Arabidopsis thaliana: one gene and its partners. The protein of the gene in region 1 interacts with the protein of each later gene in a pairwise test. Each region holds a gene or a part of one and is shown in the gene's direction. Other genes may lie near its edges. The genes, in order: AT5G02530, EIF4A1 and UAP56a.

Region 1 (9,118 bases):
GCTCTTAGGTTAGAGACACTGATCATCCAAGGAATAATCAAGTGATGAACAACCCTTCTTTTTATTGTCCATACTATGAAAAGATTGACGCGGTTACATATTCACTCGATAAAATATTTAAGCATACAACAATGCATCTCATGAGTTACCATACGATAATGTGGAAAGAAACATCACAATCTCTACTTGTTCTTACTTTTTTTTCACTCTTTAGGTAACATTCAACAAGAACACCGTAGAGATTCAAGTGGTGTCATCGAAACCGAGGTAGTTCTTTTTAGAAACCGAGTTAATGAGCTTAACACTGAAATCCCAGAGTTTCTGTGCCAAAGTCTCATCTCTAGCAAGTTTGCTTGGAGTGACTTCGTTGCAATCAGCAAAGTACTTTCCTGTTACTCCCTTCACACTTGGATGCAGAGCAACATAACATGTTGTTGCTGCTCCCTGACAACATCACAAGAAGCATCAAAATATTGTTCTTAGATTTGTCTTTATTTAGTAACATAGTCATAGAGTAAGATCTTGAATTTGGCTTAGTCTTAGGATTCTATCTACTAGTATAGTACCTGAGGTATATTTTTCCACAAGTAGAAGCTGAAGAACTTCAGGAACCCTGCCAAAAACGGAATTAAAAGGAATGATTTGAAGAGAAACAGAGAAACTAAGAAAATGATGTGAAATCTTACTCATTAAAAGAGCAGTGTGTTGGAAGAGATTGGTGAGAATAAGACCAGGGTGAACTGAATTTGCTGTTATGTTTACTCCTTCTTCCTACCAAACAATGTCCCCAAAAAGATTTTGAGTTTTTATTTTCTCAAGTGTTTATAAATTTGAGATAGTACTAACACTTTGAAATATCATATATGTGTTTGTGTTTGTCAGTGTGTGTGAAGGCGACCTGAAGCTGACGGGAGAGCTCATTAGCATGCAATATATTGGCTAGTTTCGATTGTCCGTAAGCTCGCTTATCCGAGTAACTGAGAGAAAGAAAAAACATGGTTACAAGATCAAGATTTATTTAGTTTTGAAACAAGTCAAAAACTGTAGAATTTACCTGCAAATGTCATTGATGCTGTCGAATTGGATTCCTTCTTGGTAAGTATAGATATGAGCTACAGATGATACATTCAAAATTCTTCCTTCAACACCACTGGTTTTAGCTGTGTTCTTCATTGTGTCCAAGAGCAAGTTTGTCAACAGAAAGTGACCTATACAGTATAATTCAAGAATTAAAAATTTCAATATTTTCAGGTTTAATTTCTGAAACCAAGTTTCTTTAACTTTTTTATAAATATAGGATTTACCAATGTGATTTGTAGCAAACTGCAATTCGATTCCATCTTCAGAGAGTTGGTATGGACAGAACATTACTCCTGCATTGTTTCTGCAAAATCCATTTTGTGTACAATTGTTATAATTATTAATTAAAAGTATGCACTTTTTTTTTTCACCCAAAAAAATAAAATAAAAACAGATAACATTTATTTTTCTTGCTACACACATCTACAAATCTAGTGATACGTGTGTAGAGATTTGGTAGTAATAAATGATACCACATTGGAAAATGTAAAGTAACATTGATGTTGTCAAAACAAGAAGAAAGAAGTCAAATGTTTAGAGCGAAAAAATAATGTCATTGTCACAGCATTAAACATCAAAAAAGAAAAAGCTGCATAAATAATTATTGGGTGTCGTTGTTTATTACCTAACTAACGTAAATAGTAGTACTACACAATAACAGAGGAATGGTAACCAAAACAGTGTTAATTAACGTTGTTAATGTGGAAACCATTCAAAGCCTGTAATTGTCATAAGAATCAATAATCCAAACGCTAAAAAAGGCGGTGCAAACGCTTTAAACTGAATGAGAGAAAGAGAGAATGTGTACATGAGGAGATTGAGAGGAAGATGGAGGGCATGAAATTCACGAACAAAGGCTTTGATGGATTTGATGGAAGAGAGATCTAATTGAAGAAGAGTGACACGTGCGTTTGCGTTTTGTCTGAGAATCTCTGTTTTGGCGTTTTCTGCAGCTCCCATGTTTCGGGCACCGATCACCACATGAGCACCTCTCTTCGACAGCACTCTCGCTGTCTCCATCCCTATTCCTCCTGTCCCTCCTTATTACAATAATAATAAATCACATACCAAGTTTTGTTAGCAATAAATAATTAAAACATGTTCAAAAACGTAGCGATGTAATTTTTTTGTAAATGTATGCATATGCATATGTGAACCTGTGATAATTGCAGTGAGATTAGTTGCATCAATCCCTTGAGTAACCTCTTCAGCTGTTGAAGCTGAACCAAATCCACTTGGTCCTCTTCTTCCTGTGATTAGTGAATATAATCCCATTTTTAATAGATTGACCTCAAGAAACAATGTAGAAGAGAGAGAGCGAGAGAGACAAGAGAGGAAGAAGAAGATAGGTTTGGGAGAATAAAATGGTACTATGAGAGAATCATATATATAAGTGGCAAAGAGTCATTAATGCTTATTTTTGGTACCTTCTAGTTTCATGGACCTTATTGTGTGAATTTATCCATGAATTATAAATACACATTAAACCCATCCCCACCAATATTGAATATAGATATGTACAGTATGTATATTAGTTTTTTCTTGTGACGGTCGATTCTCGATAGTGCATGCATTCGAAATCTAATTAAGAAAAAGTTCGTATTTTTCTTCGATATAGAAAATAAACTCGCTGTTGTCAACTTAAGCATGTCTATTTCTAAATAAGTTGTTGTTAAGGTCTCTAAACTTTTAAGTCCTTTTTCTCTAAAAAAACCCTTCTAATATTGGTTCTAAATTGCCGACAATGGCGAGTGTTTTCCCTCTCTTATTATTCGAAAATGTTACTATACCATAAAAGTTTATTAATCTTTACATAATTTACACATTACTTTCCCCTTTTCAAAACGAACAAAATAAATCGTTTGCTATCAAACATGTTAATGTACGTTGGTAGTAATGTCCCCTCCTTTTTTAGGGGTATTTAATGTCCTCTCGTTTTTCGAAGATTAAAACAAAAGAATATGATTTGTGTGTATAGAAAAATGAACATAATCTAAGTAAACGTTACATTTGGGGATTGATGATTAATCCCAATTTTTGTTTTTTTTTATAAAAAAACACTGAAAGGTATTAAGGTGCTCTAAGCTATTGAAAAACAAAATGTTGAATAAAAATATAGGGATGACCAAATTATTAATGAAAGGTTGGTGAGAAGCCGTTGGTTACTATACTGAGTTTTCAGCTACTTGACATCCTCCTTTCTTCACATGTTTCCAGTGAATGTGTTACCACTTACCCAAATCCCTCCTAATTTAGGGGCGAGTTTCATTTAATTAACCATCTAATTAGTTTCATTTTTTCCCCAAAACTTAGGGAGGTTATTATGCAACTAAACCGATGACTATAGTCTAAACCAACAAAATCAAAGTGGTGTGGGTTTGTTTCTTTCATGTAGAGACGAAAATACTTGACTTTGTCATCCATATTCAAACCTGCATTGGATGTTCTTGATAGAAAATAAAGAAGAAAACCTAACATAACTAAACAAGGTCTCGTACAAATTTTAAACAACTGAAGAGCATAAATCTTATACTAAAGAAAATCATTAAAACTCTACTCAAGAATACTTCATCGGTCGTTTACAGAGTTTTTGACCGGCAGATAAAGAAAGATATATACTTATTTGGATAAAGAAACAATACAGAATGTATAAAATTAATTCATAGCCCGTGCTCATAGATATCGATGTTCCTTTCACATCCCGTTTCCAAGTTCAGAGAATCCAACTACGAGATTTGGATCTTTCTTTTTTTTGCCTTGCAAAATTGATTGCTGAGAGAGCCTCATAATGACATTGTTAGGTGGTAGATTTACACAAAGGTACACACACACACCACTATCGAGATTAATGCCATATTTATTATTGTTATTATTGTTTCAACATACTAATTCGTGATTTAAACAATCAAAACCTATAATGCTTTATGATGTAAAACTGATAGTTGAACAAACTTGTCGTGGTAGCTGAGAGTATATTCTTTTCAAAGCTGAACTTATATTTAGCGATTATTTTGTTTGTTTAGTACTCTATAACCGGTTAACATTATTTTGTTTGGCATGCAACGAAACAAATCTAAATAGAATGGACCAACCTACATTTGTAACTGCTTCAGTAAAAAAAAAAAAAAAAAAAAGAAGAAACAGAAGAGATTATATTGCTAGATCTAGCACCTATATATTAGGATAGTCGAATTATGTAAGTAGAATAATGAAGGCATTTACTCTATCTATCATGTTTTTAGCGGCGACTGGCACATGACATCCGGCTCATTGGCTCATTTGTATGGGGAAGTGATGTGACCATGTGAGACTATAACGTCTAACGATATTGACTATTTATTTCCTTATATTATATTACTGCCAAAAAAGGCAGCTCAAAAAATACTATTGTGCAACGGTTATTATTCCATGGATCAAAGATATCAATAATTTTTTGTTAACCACATTTTGTTTTTATCAACATATTTAAATATTTTGTATAGTAATTAATGTGTCATCATTTGAATACAAATCTGTATATCATATAATAAAAAAGTCCACTTAACCATTAAAAATTTCATAATTCGTCTAGAATTCTACATAAAATCTTCTGGTCAGGTTATAAAGATGTCTTTAACACTCATGGTACAAGTAATTTGTTAAATAGCAAGGCAAGATTTGTTTTCCAAATTGAGATAAACAAAGAAAAAAAAGGGTTGACTTACTAATATTAATACGTGAATGTGTATGTACGTTGTGATACAGTCACATACTGTGCCCATACAGGCAATGCGTGTGCTTCACATGTACTTGTCCACATCTTTGATTATGACAATGGCCGGAGGGAAAAAAATATAATAAGTTGAAGTGGACAATGAGGATGGGCCACTGGATTTTTATGAGTCCAAAAGGCCCATTAAGAACTCAGGGGTCTATTTAGTAAAACGTAAGAGTTTAAGGGCAACAAAACAATATTGATTAAAGCTGAGGTGTTTATCGTAATTCTCCGAGAAGATAATATCTGTTTCTCTCTCTCTCACTCTCGCGGTGCGTAATTCCATCTTTGAAATCTCAGAGCAACAAAACCCTAGCTACATTTCTCGATATCGGAGAAAAGATCCGGCGAAGATGTCAGGTGGCTTAGATATGTCACTTGATGATATCATCAAATCTAATCGAAAACCTACTGGATCTCGCGGCCGAGGAGGCATTGGAGGTGGCAATAACACCGGTGGTCGCGGTGGTTCCGGTTCTAATTCCGGTCCGTCTCGTCGGTTTGCTAACCGCGTAGGAGCCAGAACGGCGCCGTATTCAAGGGTCAGCCCATTGATTTTATATCTCTCCCTTTACCTTCTCTTCCTTCAAGAATCAGAGAATTCCTTTTAGGGTTTTTGTGAAATCAAAAAAAGCTGAGATCTGTTTTCGTTTCTTCTTTGACGAATAAAACAGCCGATTCAACAACAACAAGCTCATGATGCGATGTGGCAAAACGACGTCTTCGCGACTGATGCGTCTGTGGCGGCGGCTTTTGGGCATCATCAGACTGCTGTTGTTGGTGGTGGCTCGTCTATCGAGACTGGAACTAAGCTTTACATTTCAAACTTAGACTATGGTGTCTCCAACGAAGATATCAAGGTTTGTGCTTTAGAAGTTTATTATAGTTCCAGTCTTACTTATGAGAAAAATTGTGGTTTTGTTTCTGATCTTGAGATGGTTTTGCTTGTAGGAGCTTTTCTCTGAGGTTGGTGATCTTAAGCGATATGGGATTCACTATGATAGGAGTGGAAGATCAAAGGTACTTACTTGATAAGCTTTATTGTGCTTCAGAGATTTGTTTATTGAATCGTCTTGTCATGATTAAACTTAATGATGCTTTCAGGGGACTGCTGAAGTTGTTTTCTCGAGGCGTGGGGATGCATTGGCAGCTGTCAAGCGTTACAACAATGTTCAGTTGGATGGAAAACTGATGAAGATAGAGATTGTTGGGACTAATCTTTCTGCTCCAGCTCTTCCCATTCTTGCTACAGCTCAGATTCCTTTTCCTACTAATGGGATACTTGGCAACTTTAATGAGAACTTTAATGGCAATTTCAATGGCAACTTCAATGGAAACTTCAGGTTTGTCTTGTTTCCACACTTTGTTCAATATGGAAACTTCATAGTATCATTTGCTAGGGTCTATCAATCTATTGCTAAGTCAGTTAGTATCTTGATGAAATACTTATGTTTTGTTCTTCTGTTAAGATGGCCTATGTTTTGTTCTTGAGTTAGTATATTGACGAAATGCTTTTTTGGTTAGGCCAAGTATATCCTGATAGGTAGATTACACGAACCTTGTACTCCTATTAAATATTTTGGATAACCTGTTATGCCACAGAGGCAGAGGAAGAGGCGGTTTTATGGGGCGTCCTCGTGGTGGTGGTTTTGGCGGTGGTAATTTCAGAGGTGGCAGGGGAGCTAGAGGACGTGGTGGTCGTGGCAGTGGTGGAAGAGGACGTGATGAAAACGTATCTGCAGAGGATCTTGATGCTGAATTGGACAAGTACCACAAAGAGGCAATGGAAACAAGTTAGAAAGGGGAGATTAAACCTATTGCATGTCTACATGTATTCCTTCCTTTAGTGCCGATATGCTTTTGTATTAGTATGATCTTTAGATTGAATGTCAATGGGTCTGACATTTTCGAGCTTTAGCTTTTGTTTTTTCTTCTCTTGGTGAGCTTCTTAGCTTTTTGCAGTTGAGTTCAGAGAAACAAGCATTGTGTGTACCGTGGAACTCAAAACTCTTCTAAAATATCAATTCAAAACACAATTCTATCTACTCTCTTACTACGTATACTTTGTCGTTTCAAACTTTTGAGCTTGAAGCAAACGAGATCCACTATGAATTTACTTTGTAAAAAAAATAAAGGAAGCTAGTAATACTAAAATATTAAGAGAGTTTCACGACCAACAAAATGATTACAGACAGGGTCAGAGACCATAACAAACCTACTTATTAATTATGATTACAGGGTCAGAGACCATAATAAACCTACTTATTAATTACGAAAGTTTGAAATAGTTTATTTGATTTTCAAGTTTCTTCGCTTTCGAGAATCCGATCCTTTTCCTATCAAGAAGAAGAAAGAAAAAAACAACAAATATTGTATTATATAGTGAAAGCCGTTTTCATCAAAAAACAGCTTTAAAGAACTAACCTTTAGATGGAGCGGAGTTAGTCTCACTACCATCCTTTACTTGGATAAGGTTCCGATCCTGCAAACCCAGACAATGTTAAAGACTCTGTTCCCATGGTTGGTCTAGTGTTAAGGAAATCAAATCACAAACCATATCATAAACAGGAATTTGGTTACGCCAAAACTCTAGTGATGACACAAGCACCCTTCCTGCAAAACATTAAACAAAATTCTTTTTTTAACTAATGCTTTCAACAGAGCCCTTTGGAAGTGAAGATTTTCTACTCTCTATTAACCTGATCTTGACCGTTTCTGTCCCAATGAATCAGTAGACGCCGCATTGGTCTTCTGCTGCTTCACTTTTTTTTCCGGTGTTACCTTTGAATTACATAACAACAAGAGCATTAACACTCAAACAGGAATATCAGAGGATAACCATGTAAGTGGTGGCATAAGGGGAAGTGGTTACCTCCACATCAAAGTCGATTTTCCTCTTTATTTTTTCCCATGACAAGTTTTCTTCAGCTTCTTCAGCTTCAGACCTGAAATGATTCATAGGCTCTACAACATTGCTGTTACTTTGAAGGGTCTTCTCACTTTTCTTTGATTTTCCTTTCGACAGGGGATCTTGAAATGCCTTCGATACCTTCACTCTACCTTTTCGCTGTACTGACGTCAGTGATTCTTTAGTAGCATTCTTACTTGTTAATCTTTCAACATCTGTACCAGAAAGCCTTTTACCAAATCCCTTCACTGGTGATATCACTTCATTATTGATAGCCACACATACATCTTTTTCTACGTCATTGCTCTTAGCATTATTTAAACCTTCCTTACTATGTTCTGCAACATTACTAGTCGGACTCTGGAGTTTACTCGCATCGATTTTCCTTTTGTTTTCCGCACTTTTGACTTTCGTCCCAGAGTAATTCATGGGATCTACTACATTGTCGTCACTTCTGAGGATCTTGCCACTTTTCTTGGATATTCCTTTCTTTTCAGGTTTGCTACTCTTGGCTAAGTCTTTAAGCAGGGAATGTGGAGATGCTGTTGTTACAAGTAAACCATTTTGCTGTTCCGAAGTAAGTGATTCTCCAGTAGCACTTGCACTTGTCACTTTATCAACATTATCTGCACCGGTATGCTTAATACCACTTCCAACCGCTGGAGATATCACATCATTATCGATAGCTTCGCTCTTATCTTTTTCTACATCACTGCTCTTAGCCTTAATGAAACCTTCACTACCATTATCTCCATCATTACAAAGATTCTGGACTTCACTTTCATCGAGTTTCCATTCACTGTCTTCATTATTGATAACCTCACATCCATCTCTTTCTACATCACCGCGCTTAGCCGTATTCAAAAATTCACTACCATGATCTCCATCATTAGCAGTCTTCCGGACTTTACTCGATTCAAGTATCCTTTTTATTTGCAGATGAAGAGACCTTCTCCTTGCAGTTTTTATATCTCTTGCTCCAGAACCACCTTTATCATTAATCTCTGCAATATCAGTCTCAGTCACATTGCTTTTCTCTCTGCTCTCAGCTGGATTATCCTTAAGATTCCTGTTAGAGTACTTACAAGGTGATAAAATGGGAGGACAAGCTGCTAAGAAATCATAAAACAAGGACATATCAATAAAACATAGATGCATCAGAAAAAAACACACACACACAAACACATTGCTTCAAGACCTAACCTTTCTCGATAGTCGAAGGGACGGTATTAACATCAGTGCCAAAAGAGTCTCCTTCAAAGCAACTGTTACAAACTCGTTCCCAACAAGGAGGAAACCCGAAGATGAATTCACGAGAAATCTATTCCCAAGACCAGACCACAGAACAAAAGAGAAAGAACAAATCAAAGTCAGTT
Region 2 (9,915 bases), on another chromosome or scaffold:
GAAAAAGAAAAGGTTTCATAATGGAGAACAAAATGAGATTTAATTAGACTTGCAAGAAAAGAAGTAAGATGCACCTTAATAACAAGATCATTTACAGATATCCTTTTCCCACCGGAAGCCTCTTGAAATGAATTGAGTTGACTCCTAAGACTGCATATAAAAATAGCTATGTTTAGCATCCACTTACCTAATCAAAATATATGATCTAAAACTTAATACTTACCCCATCATTTTGTCAACACATGTATCCACGGTCAAGTAGTAGTGAGGAATAGTTTGCTTTGAGAATGCCAAACGTGAGGCTGTGACCTGTCAAATTTATACAATTAACAAAACTTCGGAATTCTTGGCTTATAGTACAAAACAGAGAGATATATGGTCGAGGTAATCTAGAAATACCACAAGCAATCAAGATATAAGGTTGTATAGGTATTTGCCTTTCGTATCTGAGTGTGAGGGATGTCAACATAGTCAAGAGCTGGAACCTTTGAATCCACTTGCTTGGAAGGTTTGGCAGTAGTTTCTTTACTGCCTGAAGCTGTACCATAGGAAGATGTATTAGAAATTTAGAACATAGGGATGAGGTAAATTCTGTAACGAGAGGGGAAAATGTAAGAAGAGGGAAGAGCCAAGGATTTCTGATACCTAAGAAATCTTCGACATCAGCCTTCACTATCCGTCCTTCAGGACCTGTGCCTTTAATGCTTGAGAGAGGTACCTAATGTTTTTCAAAGGAAAAGTAGGAAAAACAAATTAGAGATGGAGATCTAACACGAGCTTAACTAATATTTTTCGTCTGGAAACTGACATTATTATCTTCAGCCAACTTTCTTGCAAGAGGACTGGCAAAAATACGATCTTCTGAAGGAGCTGAGCTTGGCTTAGAGATCTTGGCTTCAGGAGCACTGGCTGGCTTCTCTACCTTCTCTTCCTTTGGTAGGGAAGGAGCTGGTTTTGCTTCAGGCGCAGCGGGACCAGTATCGGATGAGGGTGTGTAATCTTTAAACTTTTGAATATCATCTTCATCTTCAACTGTGATAGCAATCACCTAGTTGGACAAAAAAAAAAGGGACCATTTATATGTGATTCTACAAATGAAGATAAAGATCTTTGTCATTTTTATTGAATATTCATTGATCTTCAACTAAAGGGAGCATAGGGCTCACAATCAAATACTTCATGAGAACCCATTATAATTAACAAGTCTCCAAAAGTCAGAAACTCTCATACCTCCCCAACTTGAATTTCTTTTGCCCCCTCCTCCTTTACTATCTTGGCGAGAAAACCCTCTTCCATGCATTCCATTTCGACTGTTGCTTTGTCCTAAAATATTAAGATTGAGATAAGTGTTTTATTCCTGGCATAAGAATCAATACAGGAAGAGATTCAATCAGGATTATCATTACAGTTTCAACTTCACAAAGCACTTCACCAGGAGCAACTTTATCACCTTCTTTCTTCAGCCACCTGGCAATGTTACCCTGAAGTTTCAACAGATATCTTTAGTAGAATGATAAAACAATAAACCATGTTAATTTTCGTAAGAGGTATTCAGAGGTACATGCCTCAGTCATTGTTGGCGAAAGAGAAGGCATTCCAATCTCTTGATGAGGAGGAAGATCTGAAACATATTTTAAAAAGTTATCAGTAAAACAAACCATGTATGCTGCATATACACAGTGACAGAAATATGATGGCCGCAAAAGGCACAAAAACCAAGTCAGATGCTCACAAAAAAAAGTACAATTCAAGTGAAAATATATGTTAGAACAAGCGGGAAGTTACAATAAAGAACTAAATACCTGAACTGGATGAAAATCCTCTCACTGATCGCATCTGGGAGCTAAAAGCAAGAAAAGAAGCTTACAGTTAGGATAGAAGTATTCATACAGGAAGGTAGCAAGTTGTATTCTCATCGGTAAATGGATTACATACCTTATAAATTCTTTAAATAGTTTTGGTCCTGCCATTGGGCTGCTTAGTTTTGTGCTCGTTGTTGAAATACCACTAAGCATTGTTACCTATATAATGCAGCTAATGACATTACGACCAAAAAAACACAGACGATTACGTGACAAAGCAAAGACGAGAAAGGAAACTGAACAGCAGGGACTTACATTGCCAGTACCACATTTTGAAATTCTCTCTACAGAGGAATAATTCAGGCGGGCCTTGAAGATATCTGAAGACCAAATAAAAATAGAAAAATAAATGCTTAAGCGAGAAGCATAATATATACTCAAAACATACCAACTTTCAATTAATTAAAGTTGGAACGTTGTTATGTTCTTCATGTTGAAAACGATGTGAAAGTCAAACTTGGACTATTCATCCCAGAGTACTGTGTGGTGCTTGTTACCGTATCAAATAAAAGAAACCACCACACATTTCTACATAAAATGAACTTAAGGATAGCAATGAAGAGGACACTAAGAAAGCTGACTGGATTACCTTCTCTTCCAACGAGAGAGGGGTGGGTACTGTTGGAGAAACAGCGGACTGCCACAGCATGGTCACGCCGCAGTAAAGCGGAAACATGTTTCAACTGGTCAGATAACACAACAATCGTCAAAATAGTGTTTACAAAGAGCAACATACAATTACTCTGCTGTAAAAGTAGAGTCTTCTTGTACTAATAAAATGAATAGCTAATACCACAATTGAATCATAAAGCGAAGCTACTACATTAATCACAATTCAGATTACAAGGAGGTTACTAAAGCTCTCAATAGCAAAATGCAGAATTGCCCATGATCAAATTAAAAATACCAAATTCATGATTAGATTAAGTCAAACCCGGAAAACGAACCTCAGTTCAGAAAAAAATGATTGGCAGAGCAAAACACATAAGAACGAATGCATAAACTCAGTTTTACAAGATCAAAAATGGTAGTCAAACCACAGAAAAAAATGAAAAATAGAGAAAGAGAAACCTTTTTGGAATGATTGATGATACGAGAAGCCATTGTTGTGCAATCGGAGCTGCGTCAGCCGATCCGAATTCGCAACTGCAAATAACAAAAAAAATGGTGGGAATGTTTGTTAGGGGGTTTCTCCTTTTTCCCTCGGCAACTATATCAGAGATCGAGATCGATGAATTTGACTTGTACTCAATCCAATTTTGAAACAGTAAATATGTGGATGGAAGATAGGATTCGATCTAGAACTCACCAAGAGTCAGAAGAACGGTAAATCGCAGTATAGAGAGTGAAGGATCACTTGGAAGAAAGCTGGGATTTGATGATGATGATGAAGATAGTTTTGTGTTTAGGTTTTTCAGAAATGGCAAAATGCTGCCTTACATGTACCAGATTGTATCGTACCAACACCAATTCTACCATAACCGATATAAAAGTATTTAAACCGACTAATTAAGCTTCACAAATTTCGGTTTGTACTTTATTATATTGGGCCCTATTATTATTCTCTGAGCTTTTGCGTCTCACCAAAAGACAGAGATCATCAGGTGCGTTAGTGATTACGTAGGCATCTAATGAACGGCAGGGATTAGTCAAACTTATTAATGGGCCTAATCTTTGGCCCATCGTTTTCCCTCGATTCCTGTCACACAAAAAACTCCTAGCTCTTCCTCTACCTACACAAGCTAAATACATATTTTTTGCTTATCCTAAGCATCATGATTATGTTTTGCCCTCTCCAGCTTTTTCTTCAATGGCAACAGATTCTAAGAAAGTCTCTTGAGGCTAAAATCAAAGCATTTTTTGTTGAAGATAGATAGCAACTTGCTGCTTCTTCATACTAGCTAGTTACCTTCTTCTTACTCAATGTGTTTTGCTTCGTTTCAAGGATTCTTCATATCACTTGTGGAACAATTACATGATTAAACATTCAACATAGAGAGATAGATGTGTTAATAAGTAAAGACATTTTCAGATAAAACGTTCTTATCAGTCACTTTATTCTTCTAATATCCTCGTTGTAATCGGGAAAATGCTTTGTAACGTCAAAAAGCAATAAAAGTTGCAGGAGAAAGAAAGCTTTGGAAAAGAAAATAAAATAAATGAAGAATATTTTCTTTGCTAGTCACAAAATAAATGAAGAATTTATGTTCCTAATTTCCCACTAGATATTTGTTTATTTATTTTTGCCAAAATCAAGTTAAGACAATGAGCTAAGTGTTGGAAAACCTTGTCCGAGCCAAAAGAGTAAAAAGAAAGGGAATAAAGGGGTAAAACCGGAAATCCGAAAAAGAAAAGGAGAAGATTTCCAAAGGAGAAAACCCTAAAGACGGAGTATATAAACAAGGTAACGCGTTTTCTCTCAGCCTCTTTCGGATATTCCACCAGTCTCTCGCAATCTTCGCTCTTCTCTTTGCTCTCTCTCTCTCAACGCGGTTCAGATCCGAGTTTGGGAGATTCAAGCTCCCTGAAAAAAGCCCTTTACTCTCGCTTACCAACTTTGCTCCAGGTTCGCATCCTATCGGATTGTCTATCTATTATCTCGATGTAACTTTTACGATTCATGATTGTTTCTTTACTTTTGGATTGTTCTGATTTGTTTTTTTGTGTTTTCCGATAGATTTGGTTTCAACTTTGTTGAGTTGATTTGGAAGTTTTGATTTTTCGTTACTTCAAGATCGTTTTTTTTGCTGTGGAAGTGCTTTCGTTTTTGTTCTCTTTATTAGATTCTGAGCTGCTGATGATGACGATTATTAAATTTAGGATCTACACATCTGTAGATTTGTTGATGGGTTTGTAGATTTTGTTACGGCTAGGTTAGTCTCTCAATAGAATGAAATGAATCGTCTTCAAAGCTCAGATGTTCTTGTCTTAACACTCACTTGGTTTTGTCTGATTGAATGTTTTTTTTTGTAATTTGGAGAAATAGGTTGAGTGGTGTCTATGTTTAATAGATAACCATATGTGCCTTTATACATTTTCTCCGCACATCATCTGAGGCAGATATTAATGCTTGTTTTCCTCTCTTTATGGACTTCGAGTTTGGCTTTCTTGTCACATTTCCTCCTTTGCAATCATATTATTAACGATATCAAAATAGGTGTTGTCTCTCTTCCTTTTGATATGAAATCTGATTGTTTTTGTTCTTTTTATGTAGCATGGCAGGATCTGCACCAGAAGGCACACAGTTTGATGCACGTCAGTTTGACCAGAAACTCAATGAAGTGTGAGTCTTTTTACTTCTGTTTTTTCATTCTTGAGTGTGTTCTCTCCGCATGCTCTAGCTGCTAATTGTACTGTATTGATACAGACTTGAGGGACAAGATGAGTTCTTCACATCCTATGATGATGTTCATGAGAGCTTTGATGCCATGGGTCTTCAAGAGAACCTTCTCAGGGGTATTTATGCTTATGGTATGTGTGTAGGAACTTGAAAAAGCTATCTTTTGTGATTTATGTCTTAGATTAGAACATTATCTCATGCGTGCTTCTGTTTTTTCTTAGGTTTTGAGAAGCCTTCTGCTATTCAGCAAAGAGGAATCGTCCCCTTCTGTAAGGGTCTTGATGTGATTCAACAGGCTCAGTCTGGTACTGGGAAAACAGCAACTTTCTGCTCTGGTGTCTTGCAGCAGCTGGACTTCTCCCTTATCCAGTGTCAGGCTTTGGTTCTAGCTCCAACTAGAGAGCTTGCTCAGCAAATTGAGAAGGTCATGAGGGCCCTTGGTGATTACCTTGGTGTCAAGGTTCACGCCTGTGTTGGTGGAACCAGTGTCCGTGAGGATCAGCGCATCCTCCAAGCTGGTGTCCATGTTGTTGTTGGAACTCCAGGGCGTGTCTTTGACATGTTGAAGAGGCAGTCTCTTCGTGCTGACAACATCAAGATGTTTGTTCTCGATGAAGCTGATGAAATGCTCTCCCGTGGTTTCAAGGACCAGGTATGCAAATATTTCTCAGTGTTTCAATTCCATTCTCGTTATAGTTTAACTTGAATCTCACTGGTTTCTGGGTTTTTTCAGATCTATGACATATTCCAGCTTCTTCCACCAAAGATCCAAGTTGGTGTGTTCTCCGCAACAATGCCACCAGAAGCTCTTGAGATCACAAGGAAGTTCATGAGCAAGCCAGTGAGAATCTTGGTGAAGCGTGATGAGCTTACCCTTGAAGGTATCAAGCAGTTCTACGTCAACGTTGAGAAAGAAGAGTGGAAGCTCGAGACACTCTGTGATCTCTACGAGACTCTTGCCATCACTCAGAGTGTCATCTTCGTGAACACCAGGCGTAAGGTTGATTGGCTCACAGACAAAATGAGAAGCCGTGACCACACAGTCTCTGCAACTCACGGAGACATGGACCAGAACACCAGGGACATCATCATGAGAGAGTTCAGGTCTGGTTCCTCCCGTGTTCTCATCACCACTGACCTCTTAGCTCGTGGTATTGATGTCCAACAAGTCTCCCTGGTTATCAACTTCGATCTCCCAACTCAGCCAGAGAACTACCTTCACCGTATCGGAAGAAGTGGAAGGTTCGGGAGAAAGGGTGTTGCGATCAATTTCGTGACCCGTGATGATGAGAGGATGCTGTTTGATATTCAGAAATTCTACAATGTGGTTGTCGAAGAGCTGCCTTCGAACGTGGCCGATCTGCTGTGAAGGGAGAAAAGAAGTCGGTTCTGTTGCTGTGTTTGCTCTGCCGTACTAGTATCACCGGAGAAGAAAGGTTTTCTTGTTTTGCAAGGCACTCTTTGATCTGATTTTGACCCGTCGTCTATCAGCGATTTACATTTCTTAAATTTTCTTAGTTGTTGTTCTCTCCTCTCTCTCCCAGCTACGAACATATCTCTCTCTTCTTGACCATTTTTAAGTTTAAGTCATATGGAGTATTTATTTCTTCACTATTTTAATATTCGGCTTTGTTGTTTGTCTTTGATTTTTGTATCAATCAAATCTTTTCATCAAAGTTTGGTTTTAAGCTTTTTCAAATCTATATCTCAGCATTAAACTTATTTTATATGTTTATGTCAAACTGGTTAAAATGCTTGGCTCACAAATTAATTGAATAGTCGGGGTTACTTTTTTTCCATTGCATCAATCAAGGATGAAGCATTGGCACACTCTCTCAGGCGCTGCTTTAACGACAAATCTACTGATCAAAAGTCTGTTTGGACACAGCGACGAACTCGCTTTATCTTTCGTTTTTCATGCATCTTCTTTATATTTCTAGCCTTATGGAAAATAAATATTATATCTAATAGTTTTGATGTACTATTTCCTTTTTTTCTCAAAAGAAGTATATTCAAAATTTTATGGATGTGGATTCAATGATTCCGAGTCAAGCCTACCACCGACAAGGGTTTTTCACTTTTATAATATCAAAGTGAAATTATTGGTCTGAACTTCTGCAAAGTTTCTTCACGAAACTATGAAAGAAATTTTATTTCCTGTGAGAAATTACAGGTTTGGACAAATCCACGTGCCTATTTTGAAATAGTTGGGAAATCATCACATCCACACAAACCTAACCATCATTATAAATCATAAGAAAAGAAAAACACATGAAAAGTCTAGTGATTCATACCAATTTTACGTATTCATTTTCTTTCTATTTCTAAGTTGAATAACTTAATTCGTTTGAAGAAAAAAAGAGGGAAAAAAAACACAAGTAGGTCCTTGACCAACTCCACATGACAATTGTAAATTGATTTCTAAAAAAGATACCTTTAATTATTTGGAAAATAAACATATTGTTTTATTAAAATTTCCTTTTATAACTTTTAAAAAGACAATCAAAATCTATTAAAAACAGAGTCGACGACGACTCTTCTTCGTTCAGACCAAAACTCTCAAACTCAGCCATGGCGAATTATTACGAACCGCCAGCTTCTGGAAACCGTCGAGACGCAGTGAAAGGTTACAACAGCGGGAGCTTCGACGATTCAGCCGGCGATCAGAGTCAAACGAACGATTACCAGTTAAAGATAAAGAAAAGCAAAAGCGTTCCAAACGCGGATCGTGCGGCGTCAAGAAGCTGGAGTTTCAGCGATCCAGAATCGCGGAGGAAGAGAAGAGTCGCTGGCTACAAAGTTTATTCCGTTGAACAGAAGATGAAGGGATCCATTCGAAAGAGCTTCAAATGGTTCAAAGACATTATCGGTATTTCTTGATATACCTTCTCTCAACTTTCTTAAAATCTCTTCTTTGTGCTGTGAGAGTTAAATATATCTGTAACGAACAAAAAATTGATAGTATTTTCTTTCTCTTGCAACTATATGTAGAAGAAGAGTCTTTGAACTTGAATGAGACAGATAATGAATGAAATCAGTTTTCATATCTACATGTGAATATGACCATACTTCTTCAGTTACAATCAAAACCAATTCTTTCTTCAGAAAGAAAAAGAATCTATTTATAAGAAACTCTATTCAAATTCTTTCTTTCTTTTCATTTTCTTTAGTATACACACACAAACTCACACAATACAACATTCTCTGTCCCTTTCTTTGTTGCCTATTATCTTCAATCCCAATTTTCTTCTTTGGTCTGCTTCCTTCCAGTTCCAATTAATGGATTTTTTTTCTCGAGAAAGAGGAAACTTACTGGATGAGTTCAACTATGTTGTGTGGTGGAAGTTGTATCAGTTGATGCTGAGACGCCACTCAGACCGCTCATAACGCTCAATATGGAGTGTTTTCTCTGGAGCCTTCCTCTCAGCTGGCGGATCTTGGCATCAACACGAGCTGTCACTCCAATCTTGGTCTTCTCTCTAGCCTTTGATCTTTCCCTCGTCCACATACATTCGTCCTGGACGTCGATTCTGAAATGCTTGATCTCTTGGATGATGTGATGGTCCAGAGGGTTTAACGATCTCTGGAACGAAATGTAAGCCAAGTAGGGGAGTGTTGTGGCGGCTATGACCAGCAGTGAGGTAAGCCAGAAGATTGGTGCAGGTGCTAGGGTTTCCGAGAGCATGTGGAAGATGTTTCCTGAGACTTTTGGAGGTAACATGCCAAATAGGGCAAGGAAGATGTACCAGGTGACGATACTTCCCCAGATCAAGACGTGTTGGATCCATGTGAAATGGCTCATGGTTAAAGCTATCTGTACGTTCACTGCCCAGATGATGCACGTGAACATTGCAGTTCCCATTGCGTCCATGTCTGCTGTTTGGCCACCAGAACAGAAAGATTGGACATGAAAGATGCCAATGTTGAGGGAAAATATGACTACGGATGCATAGACTCCATTTGCCATCCACCCGATGATTCTGTACCAGTCAAAGAACAGGTTCTTGGGGCCTTGCTGGTACAGTGCTGGGAACTAGAGAGAGAGAAAGTTATATTAGAAGAAGGGTTTTAGGGGTTTAGATTGAAGAGATATAACTGAGCAAGAGAGGTGTAAACCTGTAAGCAGACTTCTGAAGACACGTCTTGCTCAAAAACTCCAAGGGCGATGACAGGGAGAGATGTGAGAATAACGTTAAACAGCAACAAGTAGGAGTCGTTGTATATGGCTTGACCAGAAAACCCGGTGAAAGCCTCGAAGTAGAAGAGAGTCAGACCAAATGTTATGTTCTTGTAGAAGAAGTAACAGATCTGGCAAAAAGAATATGAATCAAGGTCAGGTTGTGTGTTGTTCGGTGTGTAAATGATGCGCCTGTCTAAATATCAAGTATAATTCACAGATATTTACCATCTGGGCTATTCTTTTGTAGCACCAGTGCCCATGGACAACAAGTAGTCTCTCTAGAAACCGAAATTGGGCTATGGAGAAGTCGCTTGCCATTACAGCCTGCAAACAAAAAATGAGAAATGTATGTGCAATCAGAAATAGACCAATGTGAAAGTCGCATTACATTGAAAACAAATTTGATTACCTGCATGCCTTCCACGCCACTGATGCCTACACCTATATCGGCTTCTTGAATCATTCCAACATCATTTGCACCATCACCAATTGCCAAGGTCGTCTTTCCTGTTCCTTCTTTTGCTAGTCTTGTT
Region 3 (11,287 bases), 3.0 Mb from region 1:
GCCTATATATACAGAAACTCTTGGGCTATTTTCTGTATGGGTAAAAAAAACAAGCAGTAGTATAATCGCCCATCATGAAGCTAGTTGGAATAAATCCCTGTATAAACAAAAGTCAAATGAAAGTGTAAAAAAGCTGTGAATGATTTTTGTTATAAAGCTATAAAGTTAGACAACGAGATTTGGGATATCTCCTCGAAGTTGTAACTTTATTGTTATTCTATCTCTCTACTTCAATTTTTTTCCTTTAGGTTTGTGGTGGGTTTCTCGGTACGAGGTTCATTTACCCTCCCAACTATACAATAGACTTTTGTTTTTGTTTTTTTGCTTTTCACCTTAAATCTTATCTACCTCATATTCTCTAAATGTAATCAGTGGAGGAACGATCTAATTAACAATATACCTATCTAGAACACGACCTAGATAATTTACATCATTAGAAATATTTTGTTGGTTAAGCTTTTAGATATATACTATGCTAGCTTTAACAAAAAAACAAACAGAAAAAACTGTGTTAAGAGAATTTTGTAAGCTTTTAGAAAAATACTATGTTAGTTGAAATTCTATTGTCCCAAGTGTTGTTTGGACTGTTTTGTTTCTTTGCATAGTTCATGTAGTGGGCTTGTTTGAGTTTTTCTTTATCGGAGAAAGATTATTCCTAAGTGAAGTCTCTTTGTATGTTCTCTAGTGAAGCATGAAAGACATCACTGTAAATTGAATCAAAACAATACTTGTTATAGTGGAATTCTTGTGAACTATGATCATATAGATGTTAACTTCACAAAATCTTGAACTTTGAAAAAGTTTCACTTGTAATTATACGTTTGTTATTTATTTTGGAAGCTAAGTGGTTTTTGAGGTCGAGAAATCATTTAGGCGGACCTAACATGGGCTAAGGAAATCGTAATAAACACATGCTTCACGAGGCTAGTACTTCTTGAACTGTGTATTTGGCGGCCTCGTGCCATGCAAACAGAGCAGTATATAGAATTTTCATAGAAGCATAGAAGATACCAATAAAATATCTTCGGTGAACTAGCACAAAGCCACAAACTTCAAATCAGTACTTCACATTTCTGACATGAAATTTTGTTTTAACATATATCGTTAAAATTGAAATTGCTCATGAAAAGGGGTATGATTTAACTTCTCAAAAACATGGTCTTCACTTATATATGAAGTCACCAATCCATTATGCTAATTTCTTACATATTAGCAATTATTTTGGGTCTTTATTTATTGAACTCTTATTTATACCCGTTTTAATTATTAGAAGAGTCTAGATCTTTCACACGTATTTAAAAATAATATTTAAAATTTATTCTATATCCTTTACTAATCTATATAGAGCTGAACTAAATTATAGAGTTATATGATTATATCTTAAACCTGAATTCAAAACTAACCCCGTACCATACAAAAGAAATTTTGTTATACAAGTTGGCATGTACCACTCAATTCTGGACGCATATTGACTCTATTGCTGATTTATTTGTATTCGGTGATCTGCTCCCCATGTACTTTTTTACTTACGCTTTGAATTCACATAAAAACCTGTACTACTACTATCTAAATGTTATAAACGCAATCTACAAAAATCAGTACTCGTACAAACACAAACAGTGTAATGTAGGAGACAAGAAATATAAAACACCTCGATTTAAGGAAAAAAGAGGTAACTAAAACTAACACAAAGGCTCCGAATGGTGACTGCGTTTTGCGGTGCGGGAGAAGTGCGGTGCGGTTCAAATAGTAACGAAAATACATATGTAGAGATTTTGATACTGTTACAGCACTGTTGCAGTGCGGTTTTAGGTGCGATTTTGGTTAACATTAACAGCCAAAATCTATTATCCCTACGCCTACCAATATAAAGTTGTAAAAACTTATTTAATACACATTACAGTTCACAAAACTTTTAATATAGTAAAAAAAAGAGAGGCAAGTGTAGCTGTGTATGGAGGAGACAAGACACAAAACATGGAATGTGAACTAGTTTTAGGAGAATGGGTACTTCTTTTTATAGAAAAATGTTTTTTATTTTTGGCAGAGTATCGAATCTCTTTCCTTTATAGGTCTTTTGATCGAGACTCTAGTAAGAAAGAGCTAAAGGCCAAAAGATTCTCTCGAAGATCCATAAGATTTTCTTTTCTTCTTCGGATCTTTCTTCACTCTCTTTAATACAGTATCCATTAACGCTTGTGATTGTGATTTTATTGCGGTTCATAAAAACCTGTGTGCCGACCCAGTTCGCGCGTGTGGTACACACACTCTTCTCCACTACTATTAAATATTAAATGCTCTCTCACCCACTTTCTATACAACTGGTGGTGAACAGAGGAACAGAGCGAGACAGAGACATAGAGAGAGAGAGAGAAGAGAGAAGATCTGATCTCATTTCATTTCATTTCCTTCTTCTGCGAGGGAAATTTATTTGTTTCCTACTTTGAATTCTTCCCCATTTACTCTCTCAAGAGAGAGAGAGAGTGCGAGAGATTAATACACACAAGTGAAGACGCTCCTTAACTCTCTCAGAATTGAAACTTTAGTGAGAAAGAGAAGAGAGAGAGAAAAGATGTTTGCGGCGGAGAATGGTCTCAAAGGAGATCCAAGGCTTGAAGCTATATCAGCAGCCATTAGGGTTGTCCCTAATTTCCCTAAGAAAGGTCTTTAAAACTTCTTGTTCCTCTGTTTTTTCTGTTCTTTGTTCTGTTTTTGCAATTCTCTGAAGTTGTTTCTTGGACAGGGATTATGTTTCAGGACATAACTACGTTGTTACTGGATCACAAGGCGTTTAAACACACAATTGATATCTTCGTAGATCGTTACAAAGACATGCAAATCTCTGTCGTTGCTGGTAAGACTCCTCTGTTTTTTTTCCTTTGTTCTTCCTTATCCTCTCATTTCTTTACTACAGTGTTTCGTCATCAAGTTTGTTAAGTAACGCCAAAAACTATGTGTCTTTCTAAAATGGGTTTACATCATATAAGCAAACAAAAGACAATTAAAAAAAGGAGAAACAAGAATTGTCTTTTTCTTCATTAAGAAATTAATATGTTTGTTTACATCCAAATGTATTATATAGGAGTTGAAGCAAGAGGTTTCTTGTTTGGTCCTTCCATTGCATTAGCCATCGGCGCAAAGTTTATCCCTTTGCGTAAACCAGGAAAATTACCAGGTTTTTTTACTGCATTATCTGTTTTGGTTATTGTGATAGAGAAGCTCTTGAGATTCTGAAAAATTGGCGAAACTATAAAATATAGGGAAAGTGATATCGGAGTCTTATGAGCTCGAGTATGGGCATGACCGTTTAGAGATGCATGTTGGCGCTGTTGAGCCACGCGAACGCGTCATTATCATTGATGATCTTGTTGCTACTGGCGGCACTCTTTCTGCCGCAATGAGCCTATTGGGTTTCTTTCTTTCTTCTTGTTTTCTTTTTCAGTTTTTAAAGAGAATTTTTTGGTCTTGAATTGTAATGTGATACAGTTTGACGTTTTACAGAGAGCCAAGGAGCTGAAGTTGTTGAGTGTGCTTGTGTTATTGGCTTGCCTGAAGTCAAGGTGAGTCACATTTATCTTACTTGTCTAAGAAGTTATCTCTGGTTTTGTTCTTTTGAAATGATTTCTAAAATGTAGTGATAGAGTTAGTTTTTTTGTTATAATCTCAACTCAAATTTGCTCATTGAGTTTGTGAAAATTTTGAATTGTTTTTAGGGGCAACACAAGCTCAAAGGGAAGCCGCTTTATGTGTTGGTGGAGCCTAGTGGATTAGATGAGTTCTGTTAGGATACATACCGGTTACTTCCGGTTCAGTTTTCTTTCCCTGCAGAGTTCATGTTCTTTTTTTCAAAATTTCTAGGGTTCCAACTTCTTGTATTCGTTCTCGTTTATTGATCTCTGTAGATTTTGAATTTTGATGTGTACTTTCCACGGCAGTGGTTGGTAAAAAACCGAGATACTGAAAAGAGTCTTTACATTTCCCGGTTTGGTGGAATTTCTGATGGATCACTAACTCATGTTAATCAGTTTATAATAACTGTAATCATTAAAAGGGTAAAGATACGTTCGTAATTTATGCGGGAAATCTAAAAAGTACAACTAGTAGGTTTACTAAATTTAATGCTGATATTACTGAGCACTGATAAAGTTGGTTGTATTCTACGACAAAACTATTCATTACTGCAATATTGGTCCATATTTTTGCTTCAGCACTGCTGCAAGTTTTTCTTTGTTTCTCCCTAAACTTAACAACTTACTTCACTGATTTCAAATTATAAATTGAAAATCGTTAATAAAGTTTTCATGATACAAATTATTACATAAGCAAACTACTGTATGTGTTATTTATTGAAGACTATAAAACAATAAAAGTGAAAGTACACAATGGCTTTCCTTACAAAGCTTTATTTGCTAATAAACAGAAGAGTCTGATGGATAACTTGAGAACTCAGCAGAGCTGGTTAGATCGCGAAATCGGATTAGGGTTTCGAAATCTCTGAATTGCAAGAGTAAAAATATCTGAGCTTCGTCCAAACGATTCCAAAGAGAGTGAAAGATATGGTTGAACTCAGTCTAAATTGGGTTTTGTTTTAATTAATGGGCCTACAATTTTGTTGGGTCCTTGAAACAAAAACATTGTTATTAAGGGAAATGAAATATCTTAACTAAACCAATTTGTTATCTATTGTGCTCTACTGTTCTGTTCGTATTGACTCGAACCCACTAAACCAAGACGAGCCCTGACCGTCATTGTCTAAATTGACTCGAACCCACTAAAGAAAAAAAGAAAAAAAAACTTAGATAATAATTGGCGCAGAAGGGCCGATTAATAAAAACTTTAGGCCCATTAAAGTAAAGCTTATTGTCAACCCTATCCAGTCTCCTTGTATATATTTATTTACGACACCAACGCGGCGTTGGTGATTCATTCTCTTCAGTCAGAGATTTCGAAACCCTAGTCGATTTCGAGATCCAACCAACTCTGCTCCTTATCTCAGGTAAAATTCTCGCTCGAGAACTCAATTGCTTATCCAAAGTTCCAATGGAAGATGCTTTCCTACTGAATCTTAGGTTAATGTTTTGGATTTGGAATCTTACCCGAAATTTCTCTGCAGCTTGTTGAATTTGCGAAGTATGGGAGACGCTAGAGACAACGAAGCCTACGAGGAGGAGCTCTTGGACTATGAAGAAGAAGACGAGAAGGTCCCAGATTCTGGAAACAAAGTTAACGGTGAAGCCGTGAAAAAGTGAGTTTTATGATTTCCTCGATCTGTTTCATGAGATAGTGGATGTTTAAATTTAGGGTTTTCTTAGATTACTGCTTGATAACAACCGACTAAGTTCTTCAATTATCTATGTGTTTGGTTAGTTGCTTAACTTTATGACAATTGACTAAGTTCTTCAATGCTAAAATTCCTGGAACCTACCCAATATTAGACGGTCATGTGTTTATCATCTTGTATTTTCTCTTTGTGACAGAGGGTACGTGGGAATACACAGTTCTGGATTCAGAGACTTCCTTTTAAAACCGGAGCTTCTCAGAGCTATTGTTGACTCTGGATTTGAACATCCATCTGAAGGTTATTACAATGAAATACACCCTACCTTTGACTTTTCTGCCTTGCCTTTCACCATTCTATTACCGAATGATATTGTATAATTTACAGAAGTGACTTCTCCATAAGATGTTTTAGTTGTCCGGAAACTTTTAATTATATGTACTTCGTCTAGTTTTGAGAAGATATGTTGGTTAAAGATATTTTATACTTTATCTTGGTCCTTTGCTTATCATCTAACTAAATTAAAAAAAGTTTGTGTTGAGGTCAAATTCTTTTTTATTTCCTGTTATAATGGTTTTTGTTTTCTTTGTTTATTAACGTTTCACTGATTACTTTTTCCAGGTAATAAACGATATTTCAATCTATTGGTTTGGAGTGAGCTTAAACATGTGCTAAAGCCACCAATTTAAAAGATATGGAGGTTATCATCTACTTATAAAGGCTTTCTTCGGTACAATTTTCTTTGGTTCTCCACCAGTGCAACATGAATGTATCCCTCAAGCTATCTTGGGCATGGATGTCATCTGCCAAGCAAAGTCTGGTATGGGGAAGACTGCTGTGTTTGTCCTGTCTACTCTACAACAGATTGAACCATCTCCTGGCCAGGTTTCTGCACTTGTCTTGTGCCATACAAGAGAGCTAGCTTACCAGGTATGACCTTCTTGTTTCACTCAGGTTCTTGGCTTATAGTTTTGTTGTACGTCTTCTTCCTCTAATGCTTTTTGCCTTGATGCTGACAATTACTTGCAGATCTGCAATGAGTTTGTGCGATTCAGTACCTATCTGCCTGATACAAAGGTTTCGGTGTTCTATGGTGGAGTCAACATTAAAATTCACAAAGACTTGCTGAAGAATGAATGTCCTCACATTGTTGTTGGTACCCCTGGTCGGGTGCTTGCACTTGCCAGGGAGAAAGATCTCTCTTTGAAGAATGTGAGGCATTTTATTCTTGATGAATGTGATAAAATGCTCGAGTCACTTGGTATGCTGATTTCTGACATCATTATTACATCGATCCCTGAATAATTTTATGTTTTAACACTTTAACTTTTTTTTTACCAGACATGCGAAGGGATGTGCAGGAGATTTTCAAGATGACTCCTCATGACAAACAAGTAATGATGTTCTCAGCAACGCTCAGCAAAGAGATACGCCCAGTCTGCAAAAAATTTATGCAAGATGTAATGTTCCATGGCCAATTCTCTCTCCCTTTGCAAGTCTTCTAGTTTTCAACTATTTTTAGCCTTCTATGAGTGATCATAGCATTAGTTGAGCGTCTTCTGCGGTTCTGCCCTGGAAAAGCGGCAACTGATCTCTCAATGGGTCTCAATCCAATAATGGTTGGGTAGTTTGTAGGGAACGAGAACTGTGAGTGTGAGACTCTGTAGCTTTGGTATGGTTTCTATGGGTGATTATAGCATTATTTGGGCATCTTCTGCGGTTCTGCCCTGGAAAAGCTGCAACTGATCTCTCGATGGGTCTCAATCCACTAATGCTTTGGGTAGTTTGTAGGGATCGAGAACTGTGAGTGTGAGCCTCTGTAGCATTGGTATGAATGAGTGACCATTGCACAACAGGATCTTCTTTCGTCATTACCTTTTATTCAGTTTCAATTTCTTTGCAATTCTAGCAGTGCTGGGTGGGTTTTGGGTGGGGTACTGTGTTGTCCCAAGGTTTCATTGTGATTGTATGGGCCTTAATGTTCCGAGCAATATCGCTGTATCATAGCAAAACTCACATCTATGAAGAGAACCTGGTGGACGAGGATCTCAGATCAGGGGTTTTACATCCATCTTCACTTTTGTAGTGTAAATCATTTCCTGAGAAAAGCTTGCTAATTATTACCTGATATCTATTCCTTTCAGCCAATGGAAATATATGTCGATGATGAAGCCAAGTTGACTCTTCATGGGCTTGTCCAGGTACTCTTATCTGGTGTTAGGTCTTCTTATTCAATGGAAATATAGTTTGTTGTTTGATACTTAAAAGACCTTTTACTGTCATACTGTAACAGCACTATATCAAACTGAGCGAGATGGAGAAAAACCGGAAGTTGAATGACCTTCTTGATGCGTTGGACTTCAATCAAGTTGTCATTTTTGTGAAGAGCGTGAGCAGGGCTGCTGAGCTGAACAAGTTACTGGTGGAATGCAATTTCCCCTCAATATGCATCCACTCTGGAATGTCTCAAGAAGAGAGGTCTGTACATTCTCTTCAAAATTCAATGTTTTTGAAGGACCCTACCTGCTCTTAAAGCCCTCATGGAGAGGAGTCCAATTCTTAAGGCTAATACGATATGTTATGTAGGTTGACTCGATACAAAAGTTTCAAGGAAGGGCACAAAAGGATCCTTGTGGCGACTGACTTGGTAGGAAGAGGGATTGACATTGAGCGTGTCAACATTGTCATCAACTATGACATGCCAGATTCTGCTGATACCTATCTTCACAGGGTAAGTATATAATACTGAAATTTATTATTTGATTGTTGATCTCACTGAAAGGGCTCTTGTAACTTTACCGTTTTGCTGTGTATGGTATAGGTTGGCAGAGCTGGTAGATTTGGAACCAAGGGTCTTGCAATCACATTTGTTGCATCTGCTTCAGATTCAGAGGTTCTTAACCAGGTATGGTGTTCAATCTTTGTAATAAGTCCACGGAAAACTCCTCTTGAAATTGAGTTGGATATTTAGTAAAGTGGCAATTATAAATCTTGGACAGGTACAAGAGAGGTTTGAGGTTGATATAAAGGAACTTCCGGAGCAGATTGATACTTCAACCTACAGTAAGTGTGAAATCCCTTACCAATTGTTTGTTTAAAAGCTTGGTTTTGTCTGGTTGTGATATTAATGTTGTTTCTTCTTCTTTCTTTGTTCAGTGCCTTCTTAAACAAGTAGCACGTCCCTCAGGAAAGAAGCTCTTCAGATTTCAACCTTGTAGGTGTTCGAAGGGTGATGGGGGTTCACAACTATCTCTCGCTCCGTTTGTTTTAGTGTTTTCTATGACGACATTTTTTTCCATATGTTTAGAACGTCTGTTGTACTCTTTAAAGGAGATTCGAGTCACTCTCCAAATCGCACAGTTAAAAGCTGTCCAGTTTTTTGTACAAGAGATTATTATGTTTGAAATATCAGGATTTAGTCTCGACCTGATTACTGTGTTCCTTAGGAATCGATCTATTATCAATTTATCATGGTGTTGCTAAGAATCGTCATTCATCAGCGTTACTTCCTTCATGTGATGCTTTTTTTTTATAACACATTTCATTTAGTGTGGAAGAGATACAACACGTATATATGGTTACTTTATATATTGAAAAGTTTATATCCAAGGAACAATGGTTAGGGGAAAAAGGCAACTTGAAGGAGTCAATGTGTCCTTGCCTATTTGTCTTTTGACTTTTTAAGAGGCAAGTCTGTTGCCTTTGCATGAGAAAAAACTCAAAAAACAACACGCAAAAGAACATAATAATTAGGTTCATTCAGAAAGACTACGATCAGAGCCTATGCAGACTTAATCCTCGAGAATAGTGCAGCTCTTCGGGTGGGTATTGTTTTTGAGGTGATCAGATTTCTACGGTGAACCAAAGTTGGGTCGACTTCCACAATAATATCTACTTCATTTCGATCTCCAACATTAACTTCATCATTCAGAAGCTGATCTTGATCATCGGCTTCATTTAATGCTGGACCAGGTGGCTCAAGGACTTGATCATCAATTGGCGGACTAGTCGGAGCTCTCATGTTATCATCTGTTGGCTGATTAGGTGGAGCTCTCATGTTACCATCTGTTGGCGAATTATTAGCATTGATCTCGCCGCTTTTGCTTTCTTGGCGGTATCTTCTACAAACCAACATGGCTAAGAGTAGAAGCATAGAAACAACAAAGACGATCGTAAATAGAGCTTCAAAGCTGTGGTGATCGAGCCGGATTGGAGAATCCGATGTGGTTGAGTCAAGACAATGTTTTTCTCCGAGGAGCCACTTATTCTCTATAGCTTTCATGGTCTCTCCCTCCGTTATATTCAAGATCTGTCTTGAAAGATCTGGCACCAAAGGAGATCCCAATGGAAAGGCCTACAAAAAAAATGGAGATCCAAAAACACATTTCAAAATCATATTAAGAACAAACTCGATGGTTTGAACATATTTTCGTAGCATGGATAGAGTCTATATTTTATTCGTAATGCTATAGACCAATACTTTTTAGTGGTAGCTAAAAGCGGTTTGTACTAGTCCCGCCCCATCCTCTGCCACTATTCAAAGCCTAGATAAAAGTAACCAGGTTTACTTACAAAGCCAAAGCCATCAGCCTTAAAGGTAGGCTCGATAATGGTATATTTTGAGCAATATTTAGCCATGAAAAGCTTGACATAAGCGACTTCGTCGAATGCAGCATCAATACCACCATTGCTGCTCTTTTTAAGAAAAAGCTCATGCATTTCCTGAGGAGTATCATAAGTCTTTAACCTCGATTCTTTGTAACCCATTTGTTTCAGCCTTTCGAATGTAAAGGAACCAGTTTGATATCCAATGTTAACTCCACTGTTCCTCAGATCATCCATGTGTCTCACTGTTGGTCGAAGTTCTTGAACCGTCAGCATCGATGTCAATGTTGCTGTGTAGCTCTGAGTCAGAATAAGCAACACAAAGCACCAAACTACCACAAGAACCCTTGTGAAAATGCTCTCCGATGGCCTCACTATAAAAAAATGTGGTTATATCAGATTCTTTTTTCAAAGATTTGCAAGTAATTGGAATGATTAGAAGCTGAAGATGTGTGACAACAAAAAAAAAAAAAAAAAAACTCACTGTGTGCGAAAAAGAGAGTCGAAAATGAGAAGTAGAACACATTAGATATTTTATTAATAATGCTCTGTTTCCTGAAATCACCACTTGCTTGGTACTCAAAAATCCAAACCATGATCCCAATGTAGAGAAAAGAAGCTGCAGTGAGGAACCAGAGCTCCCTTGTTAAAGGCTTTAAGAAGACCCATTTTCCTTTTTCCCTCTCATCCTTGACGGGTACCACGACTACAATACCCGTCTCCGAGTATGGCAACGCGAAATCTACGTATGTAGACCGATTAGCTAAGATTGTGGTATCCCCTACTGCTCCATCAAACTCCTGTAAGAACAAGAAAAAGTTTTATAAAGGTCTCATGATTTCGGCTAATAATTTACATTTATGATCAAAAAAAGAAAAAAGAAAAAACTTAGGGATCAATATGTAACTTACCCCAAGAAATACATGATAAACCATTTCGTCATAACTTCCACGGGGTTTTCCATCAGGAGTTTCAAAGGGTATGTACTCATAGGGGACAGCATAAGGCATTTGTCTCATTGCCGTGTCGAAAACATCTATGCAAAACCCGGTGATCGTTGGAGCATTAGTATTTGCATCTTTTGTTACCTCCACAAAATTATTGAAACCATCCTTCTTTGGAACTGCTATTCGCAGCTTCTTTGCGTTTGTTGGGAATTCCCAACCTTTAGGCACAAAAATAGTGTCCCCTGGCCATATTATCGGTCTAAGGCGGTGCGAGCTGTGTGATATTTTAATGCCTGTTTGATTCACTCTTAAGCTCTTCACTAGTCCTACTTTTGATTTCCAAAATCCAACTGTTCTTTCCCCACTTTCCTCTATATTGACTATCTTGAAAGTCGTCGCCTCTAGCTTTCCGTTTTTTAGCTGAAATCTTCCGGCAACGCCTTTGAAACTGACTGTT

The links.
Region 2: the proteins of AT5G02530 (region 1) and EIF4A1 interact in a two-hybrid assay, tested with the Arabidopsis thaliana proteins (one study listed by BioGRID).
Region 3: the proteins of AT5G02530 (region 1) and UAP56a interact in a two-hybrid assay, tested with the Arabidopsis thaliana proteins (one study listed by BioGRID).

The regions. Positions count from the first base shown.
Region 1 is NC_003076.8:561,846-570,963, reverse strand, and holds AT5G02530 (RNA-binding (RRM/RBD/RNP motifs) family protein), read left to right. Parts: upstream 1-5,038; 5' UTR 5,039-5,187; coding exon 5,188-5,376; intron 5,377-5,508; coding exon 5,509-5,694; intron 5,695-5,785; coding exon 5,786-5,854; intron 5,855-5,938; coding exon 5,939-6,177; exon of another isoform or gene 6,178-6,436; coding exon 6,437-6,632; 3' UTR 6,633-6,879; downstream 6,880-9,118. Other genes in the region: AT5G02540 (NAD(P)-binding Rossmann-fold superfamily protein), read right to left, coding at 244-444, 567-613, 687-771, 899-977, 1,055-1,208, 1,305-1,384, 1,889-2,120, 2,238-2,355; AT5G02520 (dentin sialophosphoprotein-like protein), read right to left, coding at 7,124-7,170, 7,259-7,316, 7,389-7,447, 7,534-7,615, 7,707-8,854, 8,946-9,063. UniProt on the Arabidopsis thaliana protein: Export adapter involved in nuclear export of spliced and unspliced mRNA.
Region 2 is NC_003074.8:4,589,291-4,599,205, reverse strand, and holds EIF4A1 (eukaryotic translation initiation factor 4A1), read left to right. Parts: upstream 1-4,445; 5' UTR 4,446-4,948; coding exon 4,949-4,959; exon of another isoform or gene 4,960-5,076; coding exon 5,077-5,145; coding exon of another isoform or gene 5,146-5,149; intron 5,150-5,229; coding exon 5,230-5,333; intron 5,334-5,423; coding exon 5,424-5,854; intron 5,855-5,935; coding exon 5,936-6,501; coding exon of another isoform or gene 6,502-6,541; coding exon 6,542-6,620; 3' UTR 6,621-6,950; downstream 6,951-9,915. Other genes in the region: AT3G13930 (Dihydrolipoamide acetyltransferase, long form protein), read right to left, coding at 75-150, 224-309, 438-538, 646-718, 809-1,048, 1,231-1,323, 1,407-1,481, 1,566-1,621 and 5 more; AT3G13910 (hypothetical protein (DUF3511)), read left to right, coding at 7,774-8,071, 8,473-8,522; AT3G13900 (ATPase E1-E2 type family protein / haloacid dehalogenase-like hydrolase family protein), read right to left, coding at 8,525-9,235, 9,319-9,510, 9,608-9,706, 9,792-9,915. UniProt on the Arabidopsis thaliana protein: ATP-dependent RNA helicase which is a subunit of the eIF4F complex involved in cap recognition and is required for mRNA binding to ribosome.
Region 3 is NC_003076.8:3,548,202-3,559,488, forward strand, and holds UAP56a (DEAD/DEAH box RNA helicase family protein), read left to right. Parts: upstream 1-4,894; 5' UTR 4,895-4,996; intron 4,997-5,113; 5' UTR 5,114-5,132; coding exon 5,133-5,245; intron 5,246-5,477; coding exon 5,478-5,578; intron 5,579-5,899; exon of another isoform or gene 5,900-6,035; coding exon 6,036-6,208; intron 6,209-6,307; coding exon 6,308-6,539; intron 6,540-6,619; coding exon 6,620-6,738; intron 6,739-7,422; coding exon 7,423-7,479; intron 7,480-7,571; coding exon 7,572-7,756; intron 7,757-7,864; coding exon 7,865-8,009; intron 8,010-8,099; coding exon 8,100-8,183; intron 8,184-8,277; coding exon 8,278-8,341; intron 8,342-8,434; coding exon 8,435-8,445; 3' UTR 8,446-8,817; downstream 8,818-11,287. Other genes in the region: APT5 (adenine phosphoribosyltransferase 5), read left to right, coding at 2,573-2,663, 2,744-2,854, 3,083-3,175, 3,261-3,410, 3,502-3,560, 3,714-3,785; GLR2.6 (glutamate receptor 2.6), read right to left, coding at 9,060-9,632, 9,851-10,257, 10,368-10,683, 10,795-11,287. UniProt on the Arabidopsis thaliana protein: ATP-dependent RNA helicase involved in pre-mRNA splicing. Required for the export of mRNA out of the nucleus. In addition to ssRNA and dsRNA, binds dsDNA, but not ssDNA.